Linked DNA regions of Oryza sativa Japonica Group. The main gene of each other region encodes a partner of the protein of the gene in region 2 in a complex. Links are inferred from orthologs where the notes say so. Each region holds a gene or a part of one and is shown on either strand. Other genes may lie near its edges. The genes, in order: probable CCR4-associated factor 1 homolog 11 and carbon catabolite repressor protein 4 homolog 4.

What was found.
Region 1: carbon catabolite repressor protein 4 homolog 4 (region 2) and probable CCR4-associated factor 1 homolog 11 share a complex: the UniProt entries of both Arabidopsis thaliana proteins name them as parts of the CCR4-NOT complex. The link is inferred for Oryza sativa Japonica Group from reciprocal best matches to the Arabidopsis thaliana genes AT1G31500 and CAF1b.

The regions. Positions count from the first base shown.
Region 1 is NC_089038.1:35,499,247-35,502,584, reverse strand, and holds probable CCR4-associated factor 1 homolog 11, read right to left. Parts: upstream 1,892-3,338; 5' UTR 1,781-1,891; coding exon 791-1,780; 3' UTR 670-790; downstream 1-669. UniProt on the Arabidopsis thaliana protein: Ubiquitous transcription factor required for a diverse set of processes. It is a component of the CCR4 complex involved in the control of gene expression.
Region 2 is NC_089039.1:18,948,515-18,952,827, forward strand, and holds the start of carbon catabolite repressor protein 4 homolog 4, read right to left. Parts: upstream 2,881-4,313; 5' UTR 2,729-2,880; coding exon 2,637-2,728; intron 2,556-2,636; coding exon 2,476-2,555; intron 2,337-2,475; coding exon 2,287-2,336; intron 2,152-2,286; coding exon 2,102-2,151; intron 1,610-2,101; coding exon 1,540-1,609; intron 967-1,539; coding exon 845-966; intron 708-844; coding exon 598-707; intron 221-597; coding exon 70-220; intron 1-69. UniProt on the Arabidopsis thaliana protein: Acts as a catalytic component of the CCR4-NOT core complex, which in the nucleus seems to be a general transcription factor, and in the cytoplasm the major mRNA deadenylase involved in mRNA turnover.

The DNA.
Region 1 (3,338 bases), on a different chromosome or scaffold from region 2:
ACCTTATCCCCCCTGCATTTCCGGCGCAACTGTCAAGCACCTGTCCTGAATAAACTAGTAGCCACGGTGTAATCGACGAAACAAAATGGACTAGAAAACTAGTAGTATAATGCAGATTTGTTTGACTGTTTCTCTCATTGACCGGTCGGCTAACTGAACGAAACTAGCATGCCACGCATGAACTAGCACCCTGAACTCACACTCATCGTCTGACCTTAAAACGAGTCAATCTCACCGTTTCATTCATCATAAGTTCAGGACTACTGTAGCCTTTTTTTTTTCCTTCTTCATGCATAGGTGTGTTTAGTTCACGCTAAAATTAAAAATTTAATTGAAATTGAAACGATGTGATGAAAAAATTAAAAAATTTTATATAGGAAAATTTTGATACGATGAAAAAGTTAAAAACTTGTTGAAAAATTTGGAACTAAACCCGGCCGACCATAGTACACTAGTATGCACTTTGACCGAATGACACGCGCTGCTCGTTTGACTCCCAACATGCGACGCGATTCGCTGCGCTGCACACGGTGCGCATGGCCTTTTTTGCCTTTTTGTTCATACGACGCGTTTTTCTCTATAGCCGTTTCATCATGACAAACAACAGGGGAAGCCGCCCAATTTTTTAACGGTGAAAGTTTAAACCACCACACGAGAAAATCAACCGAATTTAACCAATCAATTAAACCATCTTTTTTTCCCTCTTATTATTACTGTACATCTGCCGAAAGAAATCCTTTCTTGCAGACGACGAATCAACAAATTTTACAGCGGAGGAGAGGAGATCGTATCATCTCGCTGCCACCAGCGGCAGCGAGGGTGTTTTGTTGCTGGGCATGTCCATGTCGAGCTCCAGGCCGAAGAGCACGCCTTGGTAGGCCTCGACGCCATGCTTGAGGAAGTAGAGCTCCCGCATCCGCCGGAAGACGTCCCAGGTGAGCAAGCTGTCGGAGGCGGCCTGGTGGCACCGCCCCGCCGCGCGCTTCACCTGCAGCGCCGCCGCCACGCGCTCCAGCCCGCCGTACAGCTCGCCGCCGCAGTGCCGCATCATGTGCTTCACGTCGTACACCTCGTCGCCGAAGAAGACGCGCACCAGGTTCAGGAACTCGGCCATGGACCTCGGCAGCTTCCGCCCCATGAGGAGCTTGACCAGGTAGGCGAAGTCGTAGGCGGAGTGGAAGGTGACCCACTTGACGGCGCCGTGGGAGCAGACGAGGCCCGACGACATGAGCAGCGGCGCCAGCGCGCTCGCCCTGACGCCGTGCCTGCGGTGCGCGGCGAGGTCCACGCCGTGCTCCGCCAGCAGCTGGACGGACTCGGCGGCGTGGCGGTGGACGCGCTGGTCGAAGTCGGAGAGGTTGATCTCGAAGGCGAGCGCGGGCGCCGCGGTGGGGGACGCGGCGAGGGTGATGCCCACCTGGATGAGGTGGAGCGCGTCCACGTTGCGGCGGAGGAGGTCGTACCGGTCGCCGGCGGTGAGCAGGGCGGGGTGCTTGGTCGGGCGGTGGATCACGCCGGGAAACTCCGTGTCCATGGACACGTACGGGAAGTGATCGATCGCGTTGCGGATGATCCGGAATTCCTCCTCCACGTTGTGCGCCCACACCCGGCGTATCTCCACCGGCGGCGCAGGCTGCCTCTTCCTGCCAACGCCGGCGGCGGCGAACTCCGACGGCACGAACGCCATGCCAGGCGGCGGCGGCTGCTGCTTCTTCCGACCGGCGGCGAACAACAACTCCGGCGGCGGCTTCTTCCTGGCGGCGACGAACTCTGACGGCATGTCTTAACTCAAAGATTGGATGGATCTCGGCAACGAATTCGAAGCGCGATGAGCAATTGGAATTTGGAAAAATTCGGACCGAATTGGAGATGCGAGTGCGTTTGCCTGTTTGGACTGCGGCGAGTGAGAGCTTGCGTTTTATAGGAGTCCACCGGCGCATCCATTCGCGGAAGGCGGCAGGAGCGTGAGGGGAAAGCGGCGTGGGGAGCTTTGAGATTTGTGCGCATAGAGGAACGGACGGTGGCCGTGCGTCTGCGTTTATGGCGTGCGTTAACATACGGGGTTAATGATTGGGGTTAGGGGCGCGCGTGGATTGACCGTGTTGCAGACACAGAGGCATCTGCCCGGAATTGTGGGTTTCTTTTTTATTATTATTTATTTGGATTGAGTTCAAGGGAGGTGGACGCATTCCCGGTTTGTTTAATTCCGCAGCTGCTGCAGCGGATGTGCGATACCGTACGTACGCATTCGGAATTCTGTACTAATATTTTATTAGTAATTTTTTTCATTTATAATTATATAATCCCTATGTTTTATAATGTAAGACTTTCTAGCATTGTCTATATTGTGAAACGGATAAAGTAGGAGTAGTGCTAGTATACTCTAGTCGGCTGGTAGAGTATAAAGTATAGGGAGGACACATTTCTGGTGGTGCTAGTTGGTATTTGGGTGCAGTGCACCCCGGCCAAAACAGAGCACTAATAAGCAGAGATGCTCCAAGTTGAGAGGTAGTACGCTGAACGTGGACATGCACCAGGTTCGGTGCATACATGTTCCCACCCCCTCCGTTAGGTCGGCTTGTTGCGGTAATTGCCGACGTGGTGAAGTTGCAAAACAAAACCAATGGAGCTTGGCGAGGCCACTAGTACTACTCCAGTAGACTAGTCATCATCACTCATGAGGCTGAGGCTGACCGACCGAGGAGCAGCAACGACCCGGTCCCCGACTCCTCCCTCCCGTATGCGTGCGTTCGGTAGTCCACCGGTAGTCCGGTAGGCCGTACACTAGTGTGCAGGCACCGCACCGTCGCTCTCACTTTGGCGGTGGCCATCTAGTACACGTTTTTCTTCCCCCATCCCTGTACCTGTACGTGCAGCTGTGCTGTGCTTTGCTGGAAAACCAAAACCGCAACTGGGACGAGGGAGGGAAGGGAACCTCGCCGCTGTCTCACGCCAAGCGCTAGCCGCTGCTCCATCCGCAGGTTGCTGCTTTCGCGGTCGCGGTCGTCGCGGGCCACACGCTGCCCGGCCCGTGCGCCGTGCGTGTGAGGTGAGCCGACTCGTTTTTTTGTTTTTTCCTAGCCAGCGGCGCGGGGCGAGCTGCGGTGCGGCGGCGGCTGAAGAGAATCGAATGGGATTGGGGGGGGGGGGGGGGGGGGGGGCAGATGCCGCTGCAGGCCTCCGGAATTGACTTGACCGTCCATGCGAAACACTTGGAGGAGTATATTCCGTTCCTTGCGTGTGCTAGTGTTCAACGAAATAGCCAGCCGGTCGTCGGCGTTCGCGTTTGGTGAGTCTTCTTCCTCCTGGCCGGTCCTTCTACACTACTCCCACTTATG
Region 2 (4,313 bases):
AAACAGACAGATGGCTTAAAAAACATCTTCAAAACGAGAATAATAGAGAACTCTGGCCATTTTACTTGCCAATAAATATGTGTGTTCGCCATAATTAAAATATGATCACAAGGATCATTAAGCTTGAAAGCGGCAAGTAAACCAACACAGTCACGTTTCAATCTGAAACGTGGATCATTTGGATCTCCATGCTTGTTATTATCCACCTTCTTGCTTGCTTCTGAAAGAGCATAATACTGAATTAACCCAATTAACTTAGGTAGAGCATCATACTAGCCACAGATACAGCAGACATAAAATAAGTACGGAATGCAATTGGACAAATCTATGTCCTAGCTAGAATATGATTAATGATAAAGGTCCAAAGGTAGAATCATAATAGTGGAGGCCCAAAGAATTTGTACTTCATGAGTTTGGATGTGGAGTTTGAATATTTGTCTACTTTCTTTGTTTTCAAGATATGACAGAATAGTTTGTATGTTGTAACTTGTAAGTAGTTTGTTTAGCCTGGCTCACTACTTTACCTTTTGTCGCCTCCAATGAAAGAAGTCATTATGATTCACAGGATAATATCAAGTTGAGCAGCTGATCCATTACCTTCTGTTGGTGAAGAATTATTTGATGTATCACTATTTACATGATCAGTATGAACATATTTTTCCACTAAATCATTGTAATGTAGTACTTCCTTCTGGACCAGTTCCATGCTGTAAAAGTAAGAATAGCCCAAAAGGGGGATATTGAGAAGTTAATTTGCAAGTCAATCGAAACATTCATGCATACTATAATTTCCATTCTTGTCTTCTCATTGTTAATCATCACTTATTTGAAACAATATGGATACCTTTTTGGTTTATAGAATATGCCACATCCATCCCGTTTGTCCCCAGATCGTTGAATGTAAATACTTGAATATCCAGAATTCTCCATGTTTTTCTTGTAGAAGGTATCATACTCATCCAACTCCTGAGCAAACCACATATTAAAAATAAGCAGACAAAAATGTTCCAAAGAACGAAAAAAGCAGACAAAAATATTCCAAAGAAGAAAAAAAAGGGTCAAAAGTACACATTAATATAGGTCATGACTAAATATTGAAACAATACAATCATATGTAATATGTAACCCTCCCAATATTTATTTCTGAATGAGTAGAACACTAATTAATTTGTGTTGGGCATAATGGAGGAAGACTACATAATTTTTTTGAGAAACAGTAATAGCCAAAACTTTCTACTATCCACCATTGTGTTGTGTTTTGGCACTAGGAACCTTGTGTATCAGGTTCCAATCTGTCACGTTGAGAACTTGGGATTAATGCTCCCTTTATCCTAGGATCCAATCAATGTTGCAGTTTTTTCTTGGAGGGTATTTTTCAATCCACTAAATACAAACTTGGGGAATGTTACATAAACCATATATAGAACCAAATAAGGATATAATATGATTTAAAAACGTTCACATTCTATATTTATCAATGACAAGTACATGACCACATGAAAAAAATGAGTTGCTTAAAAAGTCATAAGTCTGTCCAACCTGTATGCACATGAGGTCAGCTTCGAAGCTCTTGAGTTCTGATAGAACAGCTTTAGACCGAGTTTTCCACCTGTTTCTCAAACATGAGGGGAAGCATACAGTCCACAAATGAATGATTGAAGAGCAGGGACTAGAACAGAAATGGAAAATTGTTTACAGTCACAAAACGAAACTAGCACACTGATGCACCAATCCTTTGATAGTTTTATACTTTGTTCTTGGGCTGGGTCTACTCATGGTGAGAACTGAGAATGGAACTCAAGTTTGTCCGAAAATATAAATGTACAAACATCATATCGTAAAGCTTACTGTTGACAAATAAATCTATTCGTACAACCTGAATGCTACTAAGGCTGCGCTCATTGCTGCTAGTTGGGAACCAATGTGCAATGCACACAAAACATAGTATTTATGTAATGTCTTTCTTTCATAGTAAATTATTTGGCATTCACCGCAGTGTGTTGCCACTGCTCTAATGCTTAGTAGAATCACTAAAGTGGTCGCAAGAAAATATTGAAACCCAAAAGAATTCTAGGAAGAAGCTTGTCAGTCAAGAGCTTACTTGAGACAGGCAGATGGAGAATGCGGGAAAAACGCACTCTTCACATAAACCTGCAACACAGATCAAATAGTTAGATGCAGCTAGTTTTCTTTCCTCTGTGAATACTGTAATCCACTCATCGTCACCAAAGAAAATACCGAACCATAAGCAGCTCAACAGAACAAAACAGCATATTGCCAGCCTACCTGGGCCAAGATGTTGTAGGAAACCAGCCGGAACTGGTACCCAGCTGCCCCTGTAACCCAAACACTAAAACAGTTTTAATACAAATTACCCTGGGCCTGCGCGATTTGCAAGTAATACTAGCAATCAACCACCAATCAAAATCGTATTACTCGCTTCTTAAGATTGACCAAGAAAAGAAAAAACACAACCTGCATCGGATTCGGATTGCGCCGTGGGGAGAGGGGCGAAACTGGGCTGCGCCTGGGTGCTCATCCGCCGCTTGCAAATTCTGACTCGTCGGTGTCACGATCCATTAGAACAGTAGAAAGGGGGGGAAGGGGTTTGGAATCGGGGATCAGCGTGTGCTTACGGGACGAAGGGGAGACGGGGGCCGCAGGGAGGAGGGGAGCTGGGGCGGGGACGGAGGCGGAAGAGAGGGAGGGAAGCTTGGAGCTTTAGCATCGGCGGATTCGTTGGGCTCTCCGGCGCCGGAACACGCGCATCTGGCCGCGAGGAGATGGTCGCGCCGCCGCCGCCGCCGCCGACGGCTGTACGGCTGTGGCTCCACCGCTCAAGCGTTTTGATTCAAACCTGATAACTGGGCCCGATCTGTCGGTGAGAAGCGCCGGTGTACAGTATATTTGAAGTAATACCCTTTTCTTTTCTTTTTTTTTCCTTTTCCTTTTCAGAGATGGCCACGGATGGGATAAGAAAAGGGATTTCAGCCAAATTATGTTTTCGTCGGCACTTTTAACTCTAGTCGGATTGGAATGTGCTTGCTACCACCATAAGTTATCGAGTCAGTCAGGACACATTATAAACAGGTAATGAATTATTCATGCTGCGTTTTCAAAAGGGTGATTTTTAAAAAACTTTTTATACATAAGTAATATTCCCTCCGTTACTAAATATTTGACATCGTTGACTTTTTCAAATATGTTGACCGTTTGTCTTATTAAAAAATTTAAGTAATTATTAATTCTTTTTCTATTATCTAATTCATTGTTAAATATACTTATATGTAGACATATTGTTTTACATATTTTACAGAAGTTTTTAATAAGACGAATAGTCAAACATGTGCTTAAAATTTAACTGTGTCAAATATTTAGAAATGGAGGGAGTAGTATTTAACTCATCCATACAAATAATTTCCCTTTTCCCTTTGACTATTATCTATTTATCACTCAGTTAAACTGTGATGTTAGTAATTTAGGACACGATTGTTTCGATTTACATTAAGCTTTGTCAATGATTTTGTTTTGTAGTATACAACGTATGAGATTTTGAGCCGAAAGTTTAATTTACAGTATAAGTATATCCAGACAAACACATAACTTTGTTATGTCAAAGGGTATCACTTTTTGTTTTGGATTTTGACATGGGCAATGGTGGATCCTAATGTTCTTTTTCTTAAACTCGAGAAACCTTAATAATGGATAACCAGTTCCACTGGCTGTGTTCGACCGTTTGGGTTTCCAACTCATCTCTCTCGTATTCCACAAACATATTTTTTAAATTGCTAAATAATTTTTTTTTACAAAAAGTTTCTTGTTTTAAAAAATAATATTAATCCATTTTTTTAAAAAAAGTAATTACTTAATTAATCATAAGAAAATGTGCCGCTTTGTTCTTAACCTCACCTCCCGAACACAGCCTAAGAGCAAGTACTCTAATGCTTAATATGTTGCCCCTAAAAATACTATATATGATTAGATATGAGGTGGAAAAAATAAGTGAAGAAAGAGAAGGTGAGTCACCCCTCATGCAAGGGGCAACCTCCCCACAATGACACAAACCCCAAGGAGATGAAAGAAAGAGGGGATTAGACAAACAAATAAAATAAAATTATTTGGGTTAGTATGCTGGAGGTAGTGTAGATGTGGTGTGTTGTTTATATCACCTCCTATCTTATAGGGATAAAATTAGATGTGACAACTACTCTTACTATAAAACTTGCAGTAAGACCCGTTCTAAACTCCTCTAAATTTCGACTTTCCTGTTTTCCATTAGCACGTTCCCCAACTGTTAAACGATGTATTTTTTT